Tamandua tetradactyla: one gene and its partners. The protein of the gene in region 1 binds, or shares a complex with, the protein of each later gene. Links are inferred from orthologs where the notes say so. Each region holds a gene or a part of one and is shown in the gene's direction. Other genes may lie near its edges.

Evidence for each region. Proteins that work in one complex are often made in the same cells at the same time.
Region 2: SMARCA5 (region 1) and MYBBP1A share a complex: the UniProt entries of both Homo sapiens proteins name them as parts of the B-WICH complex. The link is inferred for Tamandua tetradactyla from reciprocal best matches to the Homo sapiens genes SMARCA5 and MYBBP1A.
Region 3: SMARCA5 (region 1) and RSF1 share a complex: the UniProt entries of both Homo sapiens proteins name them as parts of the RSF-5 ISWI chromatin-remodeling complex. The link is inferred for Tamandua tetradactyla from reciprocal best matches to the Homo sapiens genes SMARCA5 and RSF1.

The regions. Positions count from the first base shown.
Region 1 is NC_135348.1:24,143,793-24,151,679, reverse strand, and holds the start of SMARCA5 (SWI/SNF-related matrix-associated actin-dependent regulator of chromatin subfamily A member 5), read left to right. Parts: upstream 1-4,585; 5' UTR 4,586-4,842; intron 4,843-4,865; exon of another isoform or gene 4,866-5,067; 5' UTR 5,068-5,129; intron 5,130-5,323; 5' UTR 5,324-5,363; coding exon 5,364-5,540; intron 5,541-7,214; exon of another isoform or gene 7,215-7,237; intron 7,238-7,887. UniProt on the Homo sapiens protein: ATPase that possesses intrinsic ATP-dependent nucleosome-remodeling activity.
Region 2 is NC_135332.1:58,579,387-58,587,682, reverse strand, and holds the start of MYBBP1A (myb-binding protein 1A), read left to right. Parts: upstream 1-4,892; 5' UTR 4,893-4,944; coding exon 4,945-5,151; intron 5,152-5,354; coding exon 5,355-5,450; intron 5,451-6,086; coding exon 6,087-6,170; intron 6,171-6,244; coding exon 6,245-6,319; intron 6,320-6,433; coding exon 6,434-6,541; intron 6,542-7,450; coding exon 7,451-7,626; intron 7,627-7,753; coding exon 7,754-7,921; intron 7,922-8,046; coding exon 8,047-8,164; intron 8,165-8,296. Other genes in the region: GGT6 (glutathione hydrolase 6), read left to right, coding at 326-459, 1,085-1,287, 1,376-1,489, 1,839-2,854. UniProt on the Homo sapiens protein: May activate or repress transcription via interactions with sequence specific DNA-binding proteins. Repression may be mediated at least in part by histone deacetylase activity (HDAC activity).
Region 3 is NC_135334.1:66,955,495-66,963,129, forward strand, and holds the start of RSF1 (remodeling and spacing factor 1), read left to right. Parts: upstream 1-4,231; 5' UTR 4,232-4,519; coding exon 4,520-4,715; exon of another isoform or gene 4,716-4,775; intron 4,776-7,635. UniProt on the Homo sapiens protein: Regulatory subunit of the ATP-dependent RSF-1 and RSF-5 ISWI chromatin-remodeling complexes, which form ordered nucleosome arrays on chromatin and facilitate access to DNA during DNA-templated processes such as DNA replication, transcription, and repair.

The DNA.
Region 1 (7,887 bases):
TTCTTGTGTGTGAGTCACTGCTATATCCTGGACATTTGGGATCATACACCCTATGGACTCAATGCTGTCTGTTCCTCTGAGGAATTTGATTTTTCTTTGTTGTTGAACTGGCCAACGTCAACCCCCAAACTCTATCTTTCCTATAGTGAGCAGCACCTGATATTGATCTTAGCTGGGTTGCTTGGTGTCTGTCTCATATCTGCTTATTTCAGGTTTCAGTCAGTGATTTGGTCAGTTTATTTACAGAATTTAGGTCTCTCCCCTTATGTGGATATCTCTCTTTATTTTACAGCTGCTGTGATTCCCCCAAACTATCTTCAAATTCTTAGAGCCAGTAAGTGAGAGTGTTTTCTAAGTTTTAGCCTCTCAATATGGTATTGGTTAGGGTGAAACTCATCCAGTGTCACTTTCTTCCCCAGGTATAAATTCCCCTCCAATCTCTGATGACTTTTTTCCCTTTGCTTTCACTGTCACCAGGTAGTTTTTAAAAATATTTTTCTAGAGTTCATAGTTGCCATCCAATGATTTGATAGGAGCAAGCTATTTTTTCCATTACTAGAAGCCAGATGTTCATTATGAGTTTTAAATTACAATTTCTGTATTTTTATAAGTAACAGCAAACAAAATTTGTGTACAAAGAAACCATTAATTTCTTAATTGTAGCTTTGGCTACAGTTAGTTGAGTGCTAGATTCTTATTTACTTTGAGTTTTATTAAAGAAAGTTGCTTCATAATTGTCAGTTAACCTATAAAGCTTTGGGCAGAGCAGTTACAACTTTGGATCATAATATTTGGGTTTTTTGGAAGTATTTCCCCAAGAACCAATTCGATAAAGAAAAATTGTATTTAACAAGCAGTAATGAAATGCACAAAGAAATGGAATTTTAAGTTATAGTGAGGAAAATACAAATTTAAAAGGTAGTGAAATATGCGTATATAAACCTAACGTACAAAATCACACCATGATGTGAGTTGACCAAATGTAAGGGGCATGTATTTAAACTTTACTAACCTTAATTTATTAAGAGTATAGTTAATGTTTTTCGTTAGCTGAAAGTAAATCCCCAAATTATTTGGCAAATGACCTATACAGGAGAAGTGAGGAAAGGATACACACACAATTATCTAAGAACATTGGTAATTTCCCATTCTTAGATAAAAACCCAGTGCTGTTTTATTGTTGTCATGTAATAACCAGACTTTATTTTCCTAGACTTTTACAAACTAAAATGAGTGTGCAGTGAAGATTAGTGCAGCACTACTACCTTTTCCTTGAAACTTAAAGTTTCTGTTACCGATCAAAACCAAAAAGCTCCTGGCTATCTGGCACCTTTTATCCTCCAGCAACATCTCTTTGTTACATCCTATTTCAATACTGCACATGCTGTTCTAACATACTAAGTTTCACAGAGGGTATTTTGTTTAAAAAAATTTTTTTATGCTGTATGGTAGGGGTCACATTTCATTCTTTTTCCATGTGACTATCACGTTATTGCAGCACCATTCGCTGAAATTTTGTTTTTGGGGGTATGGCGGGAGTGCATGAGCCTGGAATCAAACCCAGGTCTCCTGCATGGCAGGTGAGAATTCTACCACCGAACTACCCTTGCACCCCTATGTTTTAAAACTTTTATTCTGAAAAATAGCACATATGCAAAAAAGCAGAAAACTTTAAAGCACACTGCAACAATTAGTTAGAAAACAGATTTCAGAGTTGGGTATGGGTAACGGTTCTACAACTTTAGGTTTTTCCTTCTAGTTGCTCCAAGACATTGGAGACTAAAAGAAATATCAATATAATGATTCAGCAGTCATATTCATTGGTTAAATCCTATCTTCTCTGTTGTAACTCCAACTTCTCCTTGATCTTTCTCCCAATCTCTAGGGGTATTTGGGCTATGCCCATTTTAACTTTTTCATATTGGAAAGGGCTGTTGATAATATGGGCTAGGCGGATGGTATTAATTCATATTCTGGAGACGATGGCCTCACTGAGTTTCAGGACTTTTCTAGCTTAGGAACCCATCTGGAGGCTGCAGATTTCTGGAAAGTAACTATAGCGCATGGAGCCTTTGTAGAATCTCAGATAAAGTCCTAGATGTTCTTTATGGTTGGCAGGGATGGTTTTAATTGGGGTTTGGCACGCTATGATAAATAGCAATGTCTAGCTGAAGCCTGCGTAAGAGCAGTCTCCAGAGTGGCCTCTTGATTTGTACTGTCTTGACCACTGATACCTTATTTGTTACAATTCTTTCCCTCCTTTTGGTCAGGAAGGCAGTCTCATTCCTGGGAATCATATTCCACACTGTCAGGGAGACTTTCACCCCTGGATGTCATGTTCCATGCAGTAGGGATGATTTTACTTGCAGAGTTGGGCTTAGAGAGAGAGAGAGACCACATCTGAGCTACAAAAGAGGTCTTCATAGAAGGAGTTTCATGTGTAAACAATATATGCTGCATATTTGAGAGAGAACACTAAGATGGTTTTACATTGTAGTACACAGTTCCTTGAACATGGTTAAAACACTAGTTCTTTCTAGGGTTTTCTTGCCATCATTCCCCTCTATTTCTTTCAAAAAGCCATTAAGTTCCTCTTCCTCCACCTAGGCCCTGATCTGTAGGTTTATGGTTCTTCAGAATAAGAATACCTCACACCTGAAATCATAACACACTATCTGCCAGGCACGGTGTTAAGCACCTACATGCACTACATAATTTAATCCTTATGACAACATTATAAGAATATTATTCCAATCTGAGGAAAGAGAAAACTAATTTCAGAAATGCTGAATAACTTGCCTGCAGTCACACAGCTGCTAAGTTCCAGAGCCTGACTCCCCATTTTCTACTTTTTACCATACATTAAATTCTACATTATACTGTCAATTCCAGGACTAGCTCTTAGCTTTAGCCTTTTAATTTTAGAAGAATCTACATGGTGATTTCACCACCATGTAAGTACTGCTATCTGCCTAACCCAGCTTATGTTTCTAAATCCTATTTCTAGGCATTCTCTCTTTTTGGTAGACCTCTCCCCTCTCTGTCTCTGTATTTAAGGCTCTGCTCAAAATCTGTTTCTCTGTCCCTTATGTTAGATTAGTGATTTACAATGTTTTGTCTCCTCTCCTTAGTTTCTTTTAAGTATTTGTTCTCCATAATTTCCCCTAACAAGATTCTTTTACAGCGTTCATATGCTCATATGAAAAACCCACAGTACTAATGTACATATTAAATAACTACTGTCACTTTTTGGGCAATTTTATTTACTGGTTTCCTTAAAAAGTTACCACACTTAAGACCCTTTCATTTAAATACTTACGTATAATTTTAGGGTTTCCAAATCAGGACCCAAGATTTTTACCTAAGACAACTGTAAAGACTAAGTAAATATTCTGAATATTAATACTGTATTCCTTTTACATAAGAATGTAAATATTAAACAAGTACTTATTCAACAAATAATTGAAGTCTGTGTGTCAGGTAACATCGTAGACACTATTTTCTCATTCTCCCCTCACAAACTTTTTTTTTGAATTAACATTTTTTAAAATTAAAAGTGAGTTTTCTCAATACAATCATAATGCAAATTCATTTTAGAAAAATCAGAAAACATAGTCAAGTAAAAAGTAATTCAAAAAATATACCAGTGACAATCATTTTGAATACTTTTACGCATAGCCTTCTAATCTTTTAATCTACATCTTTTTCTACATTTTTGACTTGATTTTTTTTTCGGTTAACACTGTTTAATGAACGCTATTCTTCTTCAATGTCAATGGCTGTTAAAGACCAACAATTCGGTTTTGGATGCCCAATAGTTTTAAAATCAGAAATGGCATTTTTGATGGGCTGAGGACATTTTTTTAGCTCTCAAAGAATTATTGTTCAATTAGCTAAAATGGTTGCAGGATATTCAAAAGAAAATCCTTCTGTTTGAAATTCAACATAATCAACCAGGTGGTTCAACCTTAACTCTTGAAAATTTTGTCTTCTTTATCCAATAAATACTGAGTGAACAGTGGACACGGGGATACGGACATGAATAAGACACCTGAAAGGGCAGATAATAATCTAGCGTATCACGCAGTTTTGTTATCAAATAGAACATAATGTGCTTAAATTCTGTATAATAGATGGATGCACAAACCTTTAGGCATTTGTGGATGCACAAAGCAGTTTACACAAAGAATTACAGTGCCGAAAATTCAACACAACTTTGTAAGGAAAAGAGAATGCACATTTTAATTAAACGTTTGGTGATGAGGAAAAGATACAACCCTTCGCTCGTCTGTTTTCTTCTATTGGATACGCATGTTCCTCACCTAACGGTGTGCGCACGCAACTTATCTGCTTACTTTTAGCATGGGAATTCAGAGGAAAAATCGTATACCCTTACACCAAAAGGAAGTAGGGGGTATTCAGAAATGACTGATGCAGCTAATGTGTGAAGACTAACCAAAAATACCTTTGTAACGGACATTTCGCCAACAACAACAAGACCACAACAAAAAAAGAGACTTCATTCAAGATAACCGTATCGTCGTCACAGTGACGTCACGCGCTTGTCGGAGGCGGCAAAAGCGTTAAGGCCCAGGACAGACCTCCAAGTACACAGCGCGAAGTCGGCAAGTCTTCAGGGAATGCCGCCGACGCCGGCCAGGCCGAGAAGACAGCGAATCCAAGGCCGGTGAACCGTTACGAACACGTATAAAACTGCTTTCACGTCATGCCGAGTAGCCGACACAGAAACCCTGGGTTCACATCTCTCCCAGCCTCTCTGGTCTCCCTCGAGGTCCCACCCACTCCGCGCTCCAGAGCATGCTTAAGATTCGGGAGGAGTGGGTAAGCGTGAGGGACGGAACACGCATGCGCAACCGGGCCCCAGTCAGCCAACCAGCACTCTCGCGAGTGTTGAAAGTCGGTGGCGTAGGTAGTAGATCCTGGTTTCTGGTGAGTTAGGTGATATTCGCCAGAGGTATTAGAGGAGGAGGCGAAGCTGCTACCCCATTTCAGTCTCTCTTCTCTTTCCTTCGTGGTTCCATAACCTTCGGCCTTCCTCTACATCAGCCCCTGACCTTGGTGACCCGGCTGGCCCCGCCCATTCTCGCCGACGAGATTCCCGCCGTGAGGTAAGCCCGCGTCGAACACCGAGCGCCGCTGAGGAGGACGCGGAGGAAGAACCTGCTGCGTCCGCCTCAGGCCCGTTTCGGAGCCGCGGCGGGGGTGGGGGTGGGGGGCGGGAAATCGGGTTCTTGCTCTTCCATCAGCTCACTGCGACGTAGCCACCCAGGCCTACCTAGGCCTCTCCCTCCATCCCTGCCAGGCCGGCCTCTGGCAGCAGCGGGTGACGCAGACGGAACATCATGTCGTCCGCGGCCGAGCCTCCGCCACCCCCGCCTCTCGAGAGCGCGCCTTCCAAGACCACAGTCTCCGCCGCCAGCGGCGGGAGCAACAACAGCAACAAAGGCTGTCTGGAGGGTGTCGTGTCCCAGGTGGCTCCCTTGGTGGCCAGCGCAGGTCCTGCCGACGCGGAGATGGAGGTGAGTGAGGAAGGTGGGAACAGCTTGCAGCGCGAGAGAGGGCGGGAAGGCAGTGGCGAGAAGCTGGTTCCTTCGCCTTGAGTTCAGTGATAGACACAGAGTCATACTTCACCCCTCTGCACCAAATTCGGCCTTAGGCCTTTTGTATCTGAAATGATGCTTTCTCGTTATTACGCTCTGTCACCTGTCCAAGCAGATTCAGATGGTTTTTGGCACTTCACATTATAATTGTCTTTTTTAGTAGATCTTGCCAAATCCTCTAATGCCCTTATTAAACAGATGTGCTTGATTACTGTGGTCAAGTGAGAGTTACCCACCCGTGTTGTAGCCCCATTAGACTCCCATAATTCCCCTGCCCATCCTTGAATGTAGGATTTAGTTTCCACCAAACTTGGGGGAGGAGCGAGGGAGGTGCCCCTTAAAAGTGAGGGAAAGACTGTTTCTGAATGGAAGGCATTTAAAAGCAGCGCATGCGAGCTCTCGGGCCTCTTTCATCCAGTCCTTGCGGGGGCGGTATCTGTTCGTAAAGAAACAATGGCGAGGGCTGGATGGCCCTCTGCGCAGTGGGGATAAACGGGACACAGCTGCTCCTCTGAAGTGACACGAGGTCCCTCCCAGGCCCTTTTCCGCCGGGAGGGATGTGGCCAAGGCAGCAGCAGCTGCTGTCTTGGGATCGCTGTCTAATTTTCGGTGGGAGTTGATGAATGAATTAGTGAATTAAGGTCCGTTATTTGGCTTTCCATCCAGCGTACGTCTTTCTGGGCCTTGACATTTTTTTTTTTTTTGTCTTTAATTAGTACAGCGCACTGCACCCTGTGGGATTGGGTTGCTCAGGTGGGTGACGACTGTACTGTGGGGGTGGAAAGACAGTGTTGCTACTAGGTGGTTCTCTGGGAGATGCTTCAAGGTTTTTCTATGGTTGGGAACAGTGATTGGCCCTTCCAGTTTTTGTTCGTGGTCTTCAACCTGTTTTGAGATATTTTCGATATTCAGCTCAAAGATTATCTGTGATTTTTCCATTCTTAGACGAAATGAAGTTAGTGTTGCTATGAAAATTTTGATGCAGAATCAGCAGGCTGAGAAAATGGTAGCACAGTTTACCAAGAAGGCACTTGGCCAGTAGTTTTATTTGAGCAGCAAGGATCTAATCTAGGGTGATATAACATCTTTTGTTATTAATCTTTGAAAGTACTTTTAGTGTTGAGGATGAGTTTCAGTGGAATAGGAGATCTAATGTTACGTAGTTTTCAGTGATTGACATTAATTTAAAATAAAAATGTATCTGCTATTGCCTTTTTTCCCTTAAGGTTTGTGGTTCTTTTGGGTTACTAGGGCTATTTAACTTAGGTTACTGCCCCATGGGTAAGAGGGCTTAAAAAATGTGATACTGAAAGCAAAATTGTGTGTGAATGTGCAACTCTCTGCGAAGAGATGTTCGAAAAGATATTCATAGTTTTCATCAGCTTCTCGAAAAAGTCCCTCATTCAGCCTTGGAATAATGTAAAAATGTTTCACTAGAGGTCTTAAATATCAGAAAGCAGTGTAATTTAAAGCTAATTATTGTGGCTTTGATTTGCTGTTTTAAAATTAAAGCTTAATTAAATTTTAAATAGGTGTTTGGTATGATGATAACAACAGTTGCTGTGTGGAGTCGTGTTTGCCAGATGAAGAAACTGAGTCTTTTTTAACTAGAACCTGTAAGTGAACCCAGGCCTGACTTCAAAGCTGATTGTTTTTCCCCACATCTTTCCGTGTCACATTCTTATACAAATGATGTTTAGCAATTTCATTTACTGCAGAATGACACGGTTTTAGTTTTTTTTTTTTTACATGGGCAAACACTGGGAATCACACCCCAGTCTCCGCCATGGCAGGCGAGAACTCTACCACTGAGCCACCGTGGCCTGCCTGGGTTTTTTTTTTTTACCTTCTCAGTATGAAAATATCAGTAATTTTATCTTTTCTCAATCTATCTTTTCATTGACTAGATTTTTTTTTTTTTTTTCTGTCACATTATGGTGTCTTTCATCTTTCTAAATTAAATGTACCCTCAGTCTTACACGAAAGGGTTTGAGCATACACACATTATCTGAGGATAGATTTAAAAAAAAAAGAAACATTTTTACAAACCTTTTTATTTTGTCTTAAAATAGGTTTTAAGGTCCTTTTTTCTGAAATCAGGAAATAAATGAAGCTCTGTTTTCATGAGCTTTTTTTGTGACAAAGCTAACTTTCCTGGAAGTATCAGCCTTGCTAGCTAATTCAATAATTTTTTTTTTGTTTTGTTTGGTTTGGTACTGATAGTCAAGAGAGCAGTCTTACTTTTTTATTAATTAATATGATCTTG
Region 2 (8,296 bases), on another chromosome or scaffold:
ACACCAGAGTCCCGGGCTGGTATGGGGGACGCCAGGGGCCACCTGCTCCAAGGGGAGGGGGCCAGCAGGTGTCCTGGGCTGGGCTCCCCGTCACAGGGACCCACTCTGGGAACCGTGCTGTGAGAGCCCCTGGAGCCCAGGCCCGAAAAGGGCAGCCTCACAAGTGTGCTGCCTGCTCCCGCGCCCTGCCCAGACCTGTTCTAGGCTCCGCCACCCTTCCCCAAGGCCGCCTCCACCTCCCTCCCACCCTTCAGCTGGGCAGGGCCTCCCAAGACTCAGCCAGGCAGGGTGGCAGCCGAGAGGGCTGGGAGGGCGCCGGGGGCCCATGGAATCTGCAGCAGGCCCCATGCTGTACCAGAAGCTTCAGCTCCTGGAGCCGGATTTGGAGTCTGAAGAGGAAGAGGAGGAGACAGCAGAACTGCTGGTTCTACACCCCGGGGAGCCCCAGGAGTCCTCAGCGTGAGTCTGGGAGGGGTCTGGGTGCCCAGCTCCTCAGATCTGAGATCTGAGTTGGCAGGTCCCTCTCTCTGGAGCCCCTAAGGGGGACCGACAACCCCCCATGCCTGGCTCAGCCCCAGGAACTTTCTGGTTGAAATGGGGGTGGGGTTGCCACCCCAGTCCTGGCCTGGGCCGGTCAGCCAAAGATAAGTGAACCTCAAGGGGTACTGGTACCAAGCTAGCCCCTGCCGGCTGCTCTGTCCCAGCCCCCACCCCCTGGGGCAGGTGGCACCTGCTGAACAGGTTGGAACCTGGCTGCACCTGGCTGGCCCGGCTTGGCAAGGCACATCTCCTCAGCCTCTTCTCCCGTATCAACCCCCACTCAGGCCCCTCTCCCAGTTAACCCGATCCTGCCTCTCCAACCCCCTTCCTAGATGCGCCTTCTCTAGCTATCCTCAGCTCCTCCAAGCTCTTTCCCATCTCCATGTCATTGTCCCTACTGTACCCTCTGCCCGGAAACCCTTTCTCTCTGGCAAACGTGACCCCTCTCGCAAGACCAGATCCCTTTGGGAAACAGTCCCTGGTTCTCTTGGGGCTCTCTGGGGTGCCCCTCAGGGATGCTGGCTCAGGACACCCAACCCTGCAGGAAGCAGGGTGGTGGCCTGCCTGGGGCCTGGGCCCGACTAGTCGCTGCCCTGCTGCTGCTGGCCGTCGGCATCTCCTTGGCCCTGAGCAAACTCCACACCAGGGGCGGCTCTGCAGGGGGGTTGGACTCCGCGGCCCCCTGGCCCAGCGGCCACTCCCACCACCCCAGCGTGTTCCACCACGGGGCCGTCATCAGCCCGGCAGGTCAGAGCTCGCGGCGGCCCGGGACCTGGGAGGGGCAGGGGTCCCGGGTCCCTAGTCCCTTCCGGTGACAGTCGCTTCCTTGCTGCAGCCGTGTGCTCCCGCCTGGGCCGAGAGCTGCTCGTTGCCGGGGGCAATGTGGTGGACGCTGGAGTCGGAGCAGCCCTGTGCCTCGCGGTGGTGCATCCTCATGCCACGGGGTTAGGTCAGTGACCTGCGTCCCCAGAAAGCGACCCCAACCCTCGGTCTTCTCGGTGACTTGGAATGTGAGCACAGTCAGTGGCCCTGACCTCGGGGCTGGTTAGTGAGCAGGACCTAGGATTTGGGCAAATGATAATGACCCCTAGACTGTGACCTTTGACCCTAAGTATATTCATTCTTGGCCCCAGGACTGGTCATTGACCCCTGACCTCAGGCCCAGTTGGGAAGCTCAACCTCAAACAAGTCAGTGACCTTTCACTTGGGGTTGCTAAGGGACGGTGACCCCAGTCCTGGCCAGTGCTCCTGACCCCTGCGTGACCCCTTTGTTTCCACCCCCCCACCCCCGCCCTCAGGTGCCAGGTTCTGGGGCCTCTTCCACAACGGCTCCTCAGGCAACGCCACTGCCCTGACCCCAGGCCTGGCCCAGACCCTGGTCCCCGGCGTGGGGCTGCCTGCGGCTCTGCCTGCCCTGCAACTGCTGCACGCACACTTCGGCTGCCTGCCCTGGCCACAGCTGCTGGAAGGCCCCACCACGCTGGCCCAACAGGGCTTCCTGGTGGATGCATCCCTGGCAAGGGCGCTGGCAGCCCAGGACACAAAGGGCCTCTGCCCACTGCTTTGCCACGCTGATGGGACACCCCTGGGTGTAGGGACCTGGGCAACCAACCCAAGACTGGCAGCAGTGCTACGCAACACAACCCTCACCCGCACCCCAGATCCATCCAGCAATGCACTCCTGGGTCTGGTGGCCAGTGACCTGGGGCTGGAGGTGCCCTCAGCGGGCCCCATGCCCACCTTGGAGCCAGCGCTGCAGCTGCCTATGGCCCAGGGTGTTCTGTTCACCACCCCCAGCCCCTCGGCTGGCCCAGAACTGCTGGCTCTGTTGGAGGCAGCCCTAGGCTCCGGGACGCCTAGCCCTGCCCCCTGCCCACCGCTCCCACAAGCTGCTGGGACTCCCATGAGCAGCGTCCTGGCCGCCGTGGACAGCAATGGCTCTGTGCTCCTTCTCACCTCCTCGCTCAACAGCTCCTTCGGCTCCAGACACCTGTCCCCCAGCACTGGGGTTCTGCTCAGCAACCTGGTGGCCGGGCCTGCAGCAAATGCCTGGGCCTGTCCCCTCATTCTCCATGGCAGCCCGGATGACACAGAGGCGGACGTGCTGGGGCTGGTGGCTTCAGGGATCCCTGTGGCGGCCAGAACCATGGCTAGTACTTTGCTCAGACACCTGGCAGTGCTCCGGTCCCAGCAGGAACCAACGGAGAGCCCCAGCATTTGTGGCCAAGGCACCCTGCTGCAAGTGGCGGTCCACGCTGAGCATGCTCATGTCTCCAGCGTCCCCCATGGCTGCTGTCCCTTCCAGGGGTTCTAACAGGAGGAGGGTCTGGCGATGGGTAGGGATGCCTCAAGCCTGGGGCACAGCAAGCCCAGCAGCAATGCGTGCACATCTGTTACATGGTACTATGGGCTTAGGCCCCCAACCTCTGGCCTGGTTAGTGACTCTTGATCTGGTCAGTGGCCCCCAATTCCAGGCCTTGTCAATTACCTAGACGTCTAGGGCTAGCTCAGCGGATCTTCAAAGCACCCCTCCTGGATGGATTTTTTGGCTCCTCTTGCAGCTTAGGAGGCTCTGAGGTTAACAGAGCCTGGGAACTCGGTTCTAGGAAGACCAGGTAGGAGAGTGCTAAGCCTCTGGGCCCTGTCCAGCAGAGCAGGTGGATCCTGGAGTGCTGCTGGCATCTCCGCCCTCCCCTTTGGGACTCTCTGGGCCAACTCTCTCCACTGTTTCCATGGTATTTTCTTCTGGACACCGGGGCCACCCTCTGCTGATCTCTCGTGACTGGACAGGAAACAAAATAAAGATCGAATCTCCTAAACGCCAAGTACCATTCCTGCCTCTTGGCTAATTTCACATCAGTCTTTGAAGCACCTAGGTCAGGGCTTCACCCCTGGGCAGCACGGAGACCAACCCCCCCAGAAAGGGGCACAGTCTGAGTTGCTGTCTTTCAGCCCCCCCCCCCCCCCGGCTCCCTTCACCTTCTGTCTCCTAAGGCACACTATGGGCACAGTAAACCTCTTCCTTTCACTTTTGAAAACAGACAGGAGGGCAAGGAAAGAGTTGAGAGGGTGATGAGGAGGTGTCCCAGGGGCCTGGGAGCAAAAGGGGCTGGAGCTGGGCATGTAGAACCTAAAGGCTGCAGCCAACTCTGATCTTTCCCCTTAGGGCTGGGGCCACTTGGGACCACAATTCCAGAGACAGTTTCTCAGGCCAAAAAGCAGGACTAGCCAGTAGAAGCCTGTCTACCCTCTCCCACCCCCACCCCCTCCCCACAAGTTGTAAAATGCATCTCTGATTTAATCGAACCCTTCATCCCACCATCTCTTCCCTCCCCCAATAAGTCCTCCCCAGCTCAATATAGTAGCACAATCTACCCAGTTATTTTGGCTCTAAGCCTCTCTCTTCCTCTATTCCCACATCCAATCCATCACCCACCCTGATCAGCTCCTAATTGGCCGGAATCTCACCTGGGCCGGCACTACCCTCGCCCTAAACACTAGAGTCTCTAACTGGTCTCCCTGTGTCTATCATTACACTCCTACAATCCAACGCCCACCCCAGCAGCCAAAATAATCTTTTTAAAATGCAAATCTGATCCAGGCTTGCCTCTTGTAAAACCCTCTGCTGACTTTCCATCACACTCAGAATAAAACCCAAACTCCTGCTCCTGGCCTGGGGCCCCACGGGATCTGGCTTCCCTGATCCTTTGCCCCAGCTTTGAGGCCCGGGTAGCTGCAGTGCCCTCCTTCCCTGAGCTTCTCGTCCCTCTTAGATCTTCGGGCAGGGGCTCTTTCTCGTCCTGCAGCTCTCCCTGCACAGGTGCCCCCTCCTCGTGCCCTCAAATCAGCCTCGTCGAACCTATTCCACTTTCTTTTTAATTGCAATGTTTTTAATCGATGACGCATTCAGGCGTTTCCAAACTGCAAAGCCTCCCTCTGACCTGTGTGTCTGTACTTTCACTTCTTCATACTAAGTATCATTTTAAGATGTTACTTGGATACTTGTCAATCAGTGATCACCACCCCCACCCCGACCCGTGGAAGCAGTAACTTTGCTTCTATCTCTTAGCCCCGCGCGCAGCACACAGGAGCAGCTCAACAGTTTTCAAAGCACAGGGGCCCCGCGGGGAAGGATCGATTTGCTTCGCGTGTTTTCGTTTTCTGAGAAGGATCCTCAGGGGCCCGGGGAGAGGAGGGTCCCAGGGAGAGGTCAGGGTTGCCACACTGCTCTAAGAAGGTATTATCGCGGAGCAGCCCGCGTCCTCTGGCCCCGCCCCTGGTCCGCCCTGACCACGCCCATTGCCACGCCCCTGGCCACGCCTCTCCCCGGCGACCCAGTCAACGCGCATGCGCCGGGACCTGACCTGGAAGAGGCAGGCTTCAGGGCCCACGTGTTCTTGCAGCATGGCGGAGATGGACAGTCAGGACGTCGCTGAGCCCGTGGCCCCCGGGGAGGCGACGAAGAACGGCGCCCGGCCTACCGATCGCCATGACTTGCTGCAGCATAGCCGCGAATTTTTGGACTTCTTTTGGGACATTGCGAAGCCGCAGCAGGAGACGCGGCTTGAGGCCACAGAGAAACTGCTGGAGTATCTGCGCACCCGGTCTGAGGTATGGTGGCGGGGCCTGGGTCCGGGGGCCACGAAGATCCCTGTAAAGAGGTGGCGGTGGGACCCCTAGTTTGGGGGCTGGCTGGGGCTGGTACGTGGTCCCGAAACGGGAAGCCAAAGTAAGGGCGGGCTGAGGAGCGATGCTCAGCTAGGGCAGGTTAACTCGTGTCACCCGCCGCCACGAGGTCTGTGTTGGCTCCGCAGGGATCTGAGATGAAATACGCCCTGAAGCGCCTCATTAGTGGCCTCGGGATCGGGCGAGAGACCGCCCGGCCCTGCTACAGCCTGGCTCTGGCACAGGTGAGGTGCTGGCTCCTGGCCTGTGGCAAGATGCCCAGCCATGCTAGTCAGCGTGGAGGGGTCCGAAGGGGGCGGATGCCTCCGCTGTCTAGAGAGGGGTGTCAGAGGAAGAGGTTGTAGGGCTGCATGGAGTTGATAGGAACCCACCCTATCTGAGGAAAGGTTCACCACGTGTGTGTAGAGAAAAGATGCCAGCTGTGATTTGGCTGCTAAGAAGCCCAGGCAGGTGGGGTGGGAGGTTGAGCAGGTTCAGGGTGCATGGGGGGATGGAGAACTTTGAGGTAAGTTCCCTTACTTCTGCAAGGTTCGTGGGCGCTCAGCTGGCCGTAGGCCGTCTCTGGAACTTGGATGAGTGGAAGGGCAATAAAGGAGGCTGTGGGGGGAGTCCAGAGCAGACTTTTGGGGACAGGGTGTCGAGCAATCTAGAGGGCAGGGAGATGAGGTTCAGCCCCATTTGAGCAGCAGTGATCTTTCACTGCTTAGTGGGATGCAGCTTCAGAGGCATCCTTGGGGGTGGGATTAGGGACCCAAGGCCTTTTGGCAGAAGTTGAAGGGAGAAGGGGGAGGAGGCCAGGATCTGGGATATGGCTGGGCTGCTCCCTGAGCCTCTCTCCCTCCTGTCACCACTCCTGGCAGCTGTTACAGTCTTTCGAGAGCATCCCCCTCTGCGGTGTCCTGCAGCAGCTAGAAGAAGCCCATGGCCTGCGGAAGGTGAAGAAGGTGAGTGGGGCTCATGACAGCAGAGGTTGGGGAGCACTTGGGCACTTCTCACCAGTGCCTGGGATCCTTTCTAGGCTCTAGTGAGATCCGCTCTCTTCGCAAACCTGTTTGGGGTGCTGGCGCTCTTTCAGTCAGGCCGGCTGGTGAAGGTAAGATTTGGGGACCGGGAGAGTCTCTCACCTGGGGCACCAGGACCGGCCTGGGAGTGGCGGGGCGTAGTCGCATGCCCTGCTCACACCATCTGCTCCTCTGTGTGGTGCCAGGACCAGGAGGCACTGATGAAGTCGGTGAAGCTGCTGCAGATCCTGGCCCAGCACCACAACCACCTGCAGGAGCAGCCCCAGAAGGTGCTGGTGGACGTCCTCTCCCAGGTGCGGGCTCGCTGGCCAGACGGCCTTGGGCAACTCTTCCCCCCCACCGCCATATAGAAACCTTAAGGAAGTGAATGTGTCAGGCCACCCTAGAGTGGCACTGTCTGATAGAGAGAAAAAGACAAGCCACATATGTAGTTTGAAATTTCCTAGTAACTGCATCAGAAAAGCAAAAGGAAATGGGCAATGAATCTTGATGCATTTCAGGTTCTTGTAAACCACTGTGTCTGAGAAGTCTAACATCTGAACATGTAATCAACATAAAGAGAGTTTACTGATACGTTTTACACTCCTTTTGTCATACTGAGTCTTCAGAATCCGGCATGCAGTTTGCACTTACATCAGATTTCAATTCAGTCTCATCACATTGAAGTAGTCGGTAACCACCTGTGGCTGTGGCTGCCACATTTGACAGCACAGCTCTAGGACAGTGCCTGGCACGTGGCAAGGATTACGTATGTGCTTGTTGTTGCTGCTAGTTTGAGTAGGGACTGCACCACTCTGCGAAACTGAAGTAGGCTGGTACTTGGACCCTCTGGAGGCTGAGAAAGGGGCAGGAGGCTGGCACAGCCCAGGCCAGGGTTTTCTGTACAACCCCAGCTCTTCCACTGGTTCTTAGCTAAGACTCTTTGGATAAGAAAGGGGCTGGTTCTCTGAAAGCAAAAACAGAGGAATTATCAAAAGGGTGGTCCTGGGCTAATGTAATCAGCCTCCGTTGGATGCTTATTAAAAACCTAGCTTTCTGGGACTTCGAAGTTTGAAATTTTTTAGCAAGTGCTCTTTGATGGTTCCAAGGCACAGCAAGGCATATGGTGGCTGTCCCACCTCAGACTGTGCCAGGGACTGTCCCAGGAGCCTGGCAGGTAGAGAGGCTAAAGGTGCTGTGCGTGAGCTGTCCCCACCCCCCAGGTCCCAGAGGCCACACTGCAGGAGATCCTGCCAAAGGTCCTCAAGGCTGACCTGAGTGTGGTGCTCAGCTCCCCCGAGCACCTGGAGCTCTTCCTCTTGGCCCGGCGGAAGGTGCCTGCGAAGCTGGAGAAGCTGCTGGGACCTGTCAACCTGTTCTCAGATGAGAATCTTCCCAGGTTTGTGTGAGAGGTGGGGAGGGTTGGCTCTCAGAGGCTTCTGGAGCTGTCATGGCGTCTGGGGGTGGCCCTTCTCTGTTAGGTGGGTACCCTGACACCCCCCCACCACCACCACCCCCCTCTGTAGGCTGGTGAACGTGCTGAAGGTGGCCGCCGCCTCTGTGAAGAAGGAGCGCAAGCTGCCCTCCGTGGCGCTGGACCTGCTGCGCCTGGCACTCCAGGAGGACCAGTTCCCGCGGTTCTGGAAGGAAGTGGTGGAACAAGGGCTGCTGAAGAAACAGTTCTGGCCGGCCAGGTGCGCGCGGCCCATGTCCCATCTGGCCCTCCTCTCCCTGGCTGTGAAGCGGGAGTGGGACAGTGGTCCTGAGTTCCACCTGGGCAGCCGGGGACTCTAACCAGGCTCTGTCCCACGCCCCTTAGCTACCTGTGCTTTCGCCTGCTGGGCACAGCCCTGCCCCTGCTGTCCAAGGAGCAGCTGCAGCTGGTGATGCGGGGAGACTTGATCCGCCATTATGGGGAGCACTTGATCACGGCCAAGGTGGGTGACCCACGTGCAGCTCAGCGCTGCCAGGGAGGGCTGCTGCCTTCCAAGAAGAGGGAGGTGCTGCTTCTGGAAAGGGGCATTGGTTGCTCTTTGCTCTGACATCAAGCGTCCTGGTCTGGGGTGGGC
Region 3 (7,635 bases), on another chromosome or scaffold:
TCCAGTATCTTAGAGTAGTTAGAGATAAAAACCTAAAATGGTGGAATTGTAACCCATACCAAACTCTGCAATCTGTTGTACAATTAATTGTGGCAATGTGCTTTGAAATTTATAGCTTTTTTGTATATATGTTATTGTTCACAAAAAAGAAGGAAAAAAAGTCGATTGTGATGATAAAAAGTATTTAAGCCCTCTAGCTTCCTGTATTCTGTAGCAGCTAGAATATGAGAGGATTGTATGGTAGCCTATGACAAACTCTGGGATCTACCCTGTAACCACTTTTTGAAGAGTGCTTTGAAAACTATTGCTTTTTTATTTCTTTGCTTTATATATATCTTATACTATGCAATAAAAAAAAGTTAAAAAAATTCTTAATAATGAGCACAACATAGGTACTGACTTCATCAAAATGGAAGTGAAGTGTTGGAATAGGATTCTGGTACATCAGTATTAAATGTGCTGTTGCTGAGAGCTGTCAGAGAGAGACTAGGGTAGTTAATGTGGCAAGAGTGAATTTAGGATCAAGGCAGGGTCTACTCTGCAACTGGCAGTAAGTTCAGTATTTCAGTATTTTAACAACTGGTACAGCCTTCCTATTCTACACCAGTGGAATATCAGCCCTTGGTATGCAAGACATCAAACCACACAACACAATTCCTGACCTTTGTGTCAAATAACTATACCATGAGGTGTAATGAGAAATTAATCTTCATTACGCTTTTAAGTGAAAACTATAGACTAGACATAACTCTTAAGAGGTGGTCAGTAAGACACTTCTAAAGTTACCATCATCAATGAAGCAAATTCTATTTATTGCAACACAGAAGTCAGTTATCATCAAGACAAAGAACCAGAAAATAGGTTTATATTGAGACTTTTATTTTTATATGTTTTCTTATTAAACTCTCTTGAAGGTTCCTAATCCTTTTGATACATAGGTTTTTTCACTACATACAACATACATTGGCACACCTCCAGATGTATCAACACTTTTCAAAGTGCGTTTAAAGCAAAGGGAAATAAATTTGCTCATTCTCTGACAAGGAATTCCCTGAATTGACTCTATAATTCAATTCAGTGTGCACATAGGGCAGACCATGGTGGCTCAGCAGGCAGAGTTCTCACCTGCCATGTGCAAAACGTGGGTTCAATTCCCCGTGCCTGCCCAAGCGGAAAAAAAGAATACATAACTCAGTTTAATTCATTTTTACTGAGCTTATATCACTTCAAAAAAACCAAAAACAGAAACGAAAAATCGTGCACAAATGCAATGATAATGCGTGGGGAGACATAAATAAATATAAATTGGTCTACTGTAAGGCACACTGCTACCATTGTGATTTGAGAATATCTCCACAGAATTAGTTTGACCTTCATACAGAGGGAATCATACAGCACCTATTCTTTGAGTTTGCCTTCTTCAATTGTACGAGTTTTTGAGATTCAGTCATACTGCTGTGTGTCAGTAATGTGTATCAGTATCAGCAGCAGTCTATTATAAGAATATATCACAATTCTTTTATCCATTCTTTTGCTGATGAACATTTGGGTTGGTTTCAATTTAATCTGTTCATTAATTCTGACTGAGCAAATAGTCTTTTTTTCCCCTTAAGATGTGAAATTTGAACTGTTAACATTTTTCTTATAAACAAAGTCAGACTAAGCGTAGATAATTTAGTGCTTATTTAAAGACCTCTTTCTTCGCAGTAGAAATGAATCAATTACATGTCAAAAAAAAAAAGCTACTTTTTTCTACCTTTACATTCTTTTTAGGTATATTTAACTCAGTTACTTAACTGCATAAATTTGGATTATGCTCTTATAACCCACAACCTCTCAACCCAGAAAGGCAAGAGATGTTGGCATTATGGTTCTTGTTTATCTTCTTTTCAAGAACAGACTTAATCATGGCATGATTTAAACCCTGCTTTGTAGTAAAACATCTCCTACCTTTTAGGTGGATATAACTTTCAGATGCCCAAGAACTATGTTTCCATGCTAATCACAATCAGAAAAAGCAGAAACTCTAACCTTATTCATCAGTCTTTCTTTGAGTAAGTGTGAATACTGAGAGAAAAAACACACAATAGCATAATGCATTTTTTTGCTTTTTAAAAATGTAATTTTACAACCTCATGGGAGAGTGGGAGGGTGGGTAAGGGGTCACAAAATACCATAAATCTTTTGAGTATGAAGAGTCTCTCTACAGAAATTCCTTCACAAAAATATTTTTAGTATTGTACACCCAGGTTTTATTTAAGTAAGCCTATATGTAAGCCAAATTTATTTTTAATTTTTTTTATTTTTTTATTATTTTTTACATGGGCAGGCACCGGGAATAGAACCCGGGTCCTCTGGCATCGTAGGCAAGCATTCCTGCCTGCTGAGCCACCGTGGCCCACCCAAACCAAATAATTTTAACTATATGAAGGTCTGTTTTGTATGGTTTTTTTTGTGTGTGTGTGTTCTGCAAAATTGTTGTTAATATTTTCTGGATCAGACTTTTCTTAAACTAGGGTCCTTCAGGTCACCAGGCTCTAGGGACATATATTCAGCAGTCAGAAGAGTTCTACAAAAATGTTTTAATTTAGTTTTGTTTTCATTTCAGTGATTGCTTAAAAACACTATTTTATCACTCACTAAATGAAAATTCCCCTTTGCAATAGAAATTCACAACCATAAGACATTTTCCCTAAGTAAGATTTTAATTTCTTACATCAATATTCTTAAACTGTAATTTTCAAGATTATTTGCCAAATTTCAAAAAAAATGTTTTTTTGTCCTTTAAAAGGGATTTGTATATTATGAATTTGTATATAGTTTATGAATCACTAGTCTAGGTAACATATTCCTCTAAGAATAAATTGTCAGGAAGAACCTTTTCCTTCCATGATAAACGCTTTATTTCTTTAGATAATGAGAATGACATAGCCCACTATGGTTTTTCCCTCTTTTGCTTTTGTTATATGGAAATGCAGACCAAAATTCAATGTTTAATTGTAGTAACCATGGTCCTTTTTATTGATACAATTATTTCCTTACATAATTTTTTATCTTTCTTTACTTACAAATTATCCTAGTGTACATGGTTTGTATTGACCCTTGCTTCAAATTATTTTATTATTTATTTTATGTAAGTTTTAAATGCAGTCTGGAGATTTTGTCTAAAGGAAACTTTAATCCAAATAAATACAGCTGGTTTCAATCTACGTTGTAAGAACTCTTAAATAATAGCAACTAACGTTTTTTAAAGTACTTACAATGTGCCGAGGCATTGTGCTCTTTATCTCAACCTTTACGAAAAAATTTGTAAAATTATCTAGTAAAACCTAATGATGTAGATAGCATTATCATCCTATTTACAGAAATTCATAGACATTAAGAATTTTGCACAATGTCATAAAGTTGTCCTATCAGGACTCAAGTTGTGGCTGAATCCAAAGCTCAGCTCCTAATCACTATGTATATTGTCTCCCAAGTTGCATATTCTGTTCTGAATTATTAGCGGTTGGTGGTTTTTCTCCTGGGGTTGCGGAAGAATGTTCACGCTCCTCATAACGAAATGAACTCTGTCCTCTAACAAACATTTTTCTTTTCAAGTCTCCTACAATGCTCACACCCCTTCAGTGGAAGCCTATACCACTCACAGACTCTCATCTTCAACAGGAATCCGTTCCCTCGGACCCTGGTGACCCCAGCATTGCCCCATACCCTCAGACCCTGTCTTCTTCTCGCAAAGTTGAGACTCTTGTACCCCCCCAAAAAGAGCAATCCCACCAGTAAACTTTAGCAGAGACCTCTCCTGGCAAAGGTCCCATCTTATCCCCTTATTATGGTTACCTCTACCTCTCTCCCAACCTCCTCCCAGAAGCGTGCCATTTTTTCCCCTATTCTCTTTTTCTGCTTTTTATTCACTTTCCCCATCATCTTCTGGCCTAGTCCATTTCCCAGAGTCCCCTCAAAACTCACCTAACAACTTCTCTCAAAAGAGCAGCGTTCTTAAATGCCTGCGCCCATTACCGCGCACCACAACTTGTTTGATCGCTCACTGCCAGGTGCTGCCCCATCCCCCTCGCCCCGCCCCCGCCCCGTGAGTCTCTCTGCCAGCCATCACCCGAAACACCGCCCCCGCCTATCTATTGGTTATCCTTCTTAAAGAGTCCCGCCTCCCCCCCTCCAGCCCGCCTCCCACCCCGCTTTCCTTGTTTTCATTCCCCCTGTCACACGAGGCCGTGGCGAATCCGAAGTGGGAGGGGCGAACTAGAGGGAGGGAAGGAGGCCGAATGAGGGCGGAAAGTGAATCGCTCAGAGTGCCTCTCTTTCCCCCGTCTGAGTCCGTTCTCGACTGCTCCGGGCCGCCGTTGTATTGTGGGATTGCGGCGCCGTGCTTGAGACGCTCGGATCCACAAGGAAGCTAACTCGACAGCGCCTCCTGTCGTTCGTAAGGCTGCGCCACCATTCCTCGGCACCCCAACTCCCCCTACCCCCCATCGCCTCCTCCTCCATCCTCCAGTTCAAAATGGCGGCGGCGGCGGCAGCGGCAGCGGCGGTGGCGGCGATGGCTCCTCCGGGCTGCCCCGGTTCATGTCCCAACTTCGCCGTAGTCTGCTCCTTCTTGGAGCGCTACGGACCGCTGCTCGACTTGCCTGAGTTGCCTTTCCCGGAGCTGGAGCGGGTATTGCAGGCGCCGCCGCCGGACGTGGGCAACGGAGAAGGTAAGCTAGGGGCCCGAACGCCCGGCGGGAAGCGGCCCTGGCGCGCTCCTACTCTCAGATCTTCACGGACACCTCGGGCCTCCGCGGTTCTGTTCTTTCCCTGGGACGCAGTTCCGCCGAGCTCGTCTTCTCCGCCCTGCCGCCGGAGTCCTGGGCTGAGGGGAGGCGGGGCGGGGGCCCCCCTTAGGGCCAGCCGGCCAAGCGGGGAGCGGAGGTGGGGGCGTCGCGGGCTAGGTGTTGACTGGGGACGGGGAGAGGTCATTGTGCTTGTCTTTTGCCCCTCGGACCGCTCTGCCGCGGCGGGGGCCTGTTCCCCACCCCTTCTCCCTTTGGGTGGCGGGGGAAGGGGAGCGCAGGTTCCGGCCAGCTTTGCGCTTTTCTCCTCCTCCCCTCCTTTCAACCTCCCCTCCTCCCACCATCCTCTCCACCATCTCGGGGGAGGCTGGGCCCATCTCGTCGGAGCGCCTACTCCTTTCCTCCACCTGGGTGGGCGGAGGCCAGCGGACACTCCAACTCTCCCTCCCACTGGTGGGAACTCCCCCGAGAGAGTGCTCTAGTCCCTCTTCCCCTGTCTTGAAGGGCGGATTTAACCCCCCAAACTCCTTCCGAGTAGGGAGGTCTGCTCCTCCCCTTAGGGAGAGTATTCTCCATCCTCGCTGTGGGGGGCAAAGTAGGTTCAGCTTCTCCACTTTGGAGAGAGGATTAATTCCTTCACCCACCCCCATAGTTTTCCTTCTCTCTCTCCCCACCTTCCCCCAAATAATAGAAAAGGATCTCTCTACTTTTTCCACTCCCTTCCCCCTTCATCTTGGCTGTAGGGCTTAAGGGAAGAAGAAGTCGCCCTCCCATTTACGGGGTGGGGTGGTTTGTATGTAGGCTGGAGGAGGGGCTCAGACAGAGGGGAGAAACAGTTGAAGAAGGTGCTTGTTGCTCTTGTTTCTCTCTCTGGTGCCGCTGGTCTATTATTGGTGTTAGCAAGTGGTGCTCCTTCCACATAAGGCCACCGCGCGGGTGCAGGGCGCATGCTCTGCACGGCCCCATTGAAACTTCCTGCTGCTGCTGGTAATTCTGCTGGAGCATCTCAGCGCTGAGCCTGCTGCCTCCAGCCCTCACACAGCACATACACTCACCCTCTATTCCCAATTCAAGCCTTCCGTTTTCTAGAACATTTCTTCCCTCAGAGAAGGGCTTTTTGTTGTACTCACCTTAGCATTGCCTTTATCTGGGAAAAGCCTTTGACTGGAGAAGAAACATTTTCCAAACAGGTCTTTTTTTTCATTTTGTGTGTGTCTGTATTCGGTCGCAAAGTGGGCTGAGTATTGTACACGACAGATAGCTGTTTCCTTCCAAGAAAGCAGGGTCGTTCTTCTATTCTCTATGGAAATGAAGACGTTTCTGTTAATATATTTACATTGCTAGAAAATGCCCAAGTATGAAGTTCTTAAAAATATTACCTAGAGAGAATAAGAAATTACAGCAACCAAAGTTTCAAATTAGTACAGCAGTTAGAGTATAGGCCTTATCCCTTCTTTTCCAAATCCCCTCCACCCTTAACAAATCCTGGTATATAAAAGACTAATTTTTTGAATGGTGTAAACTAGGGAGGTGATAAAATGCATTATATAAAAACTTCCTGCAGAATTTCTTTAGAAATTAAGCGTCCTAACGTAATTTCGTGAATGAATTGCATTTGCATTAGTTTTTAAGGAAAAAGTCATTGTGAGGTAGACCTTAGTAAGTTGCTGTTAGAATACCTTGGGAAATGATAGTAATGTATTTACCAAAGAGACAAATGTGGGAATTGGGGATGGAAGGATTGCTGGTAAGTTGGTTTTAGAATTTTGGATCAAGTTGAAAGACAGGCATAGCCTTTCTGTGATGGCATTGTATTTGGGGTGGTACCAAGGTTGCTTGCCCCCCCTCCATTCCTTTTAATATTTTGCCCACTGAGTTTGGTTTATATTAGTACTGGAAGAAAAAAATGTGAAGGCTAGTTTAATATTTTTCCTTAAAAAGAAAATTTAATACCCTTCTTTAAAACCTTTCATATTTTTTATTTGGAGTTGAATAACCACTCACCAGTGGTCCACTAGGTGAGTACAGTGTGGGAAATAATCTGGGTTAAAGGTATCATATAGCTCAGTCATCCATTACCATTTACAAAGAAGACTGATAAAAATGGTTCCTTTTATGAGGTGATCTAAGAATAATTATTAATGTTAAACCATTCAAGATACTTGGTGGATGAAAAAAATCTCTGCAAGTGAAATGCTGTTACTGTACAGGAAAAAAATTCTCAGCCCTTGATGTTGGTCAACCTGCTTGTAATAGTTGTTTAAACAATACTGGTCCCATTGACAAGATTTGAGCAGTCTTTTTGGAAAGATGTGGTATACCAGAAAGAGTTAGAAGTACGGATTTTATCATTGATCTGTAGGTTGTAGAGTAAATCACTAAACTTCTATGGACCTCAATTTCTTCAGTAAATAGAATATCCAAGGGTCAAATGAAATAATGTTAAAAAATCCTTTCATAAACCAAGCATTTAGAAATATTCTTGTCTTACAAATTTTATTAAGATGCCTGCAGATAAAAGGCACATAAGTGCATTTGGAACCAAAATTTTTAGCACATTGTGAGTATTGAAGCTTGAACACAATATTGACCTTTTATGCTCTTGAGAGCAAAGTTGCTTATAATCAAATAGGTTTTGCTTTAAACAAATTGAAGTATTTTTTAAAGGCTGTTCTTAGAGCCATATCAAAAAATCTTAGTGTATAAAACTTCATGTTTCCTAGTATGTTTAGCCTTTAGAAACTGCCTTTTTAAGTATATTCCTCTAAGTTGCCAGTTTAATACTCATACATTTATTGTGATGTGTGTCAACATTATGACATACTTTAGAGGAAACTGTAGTACT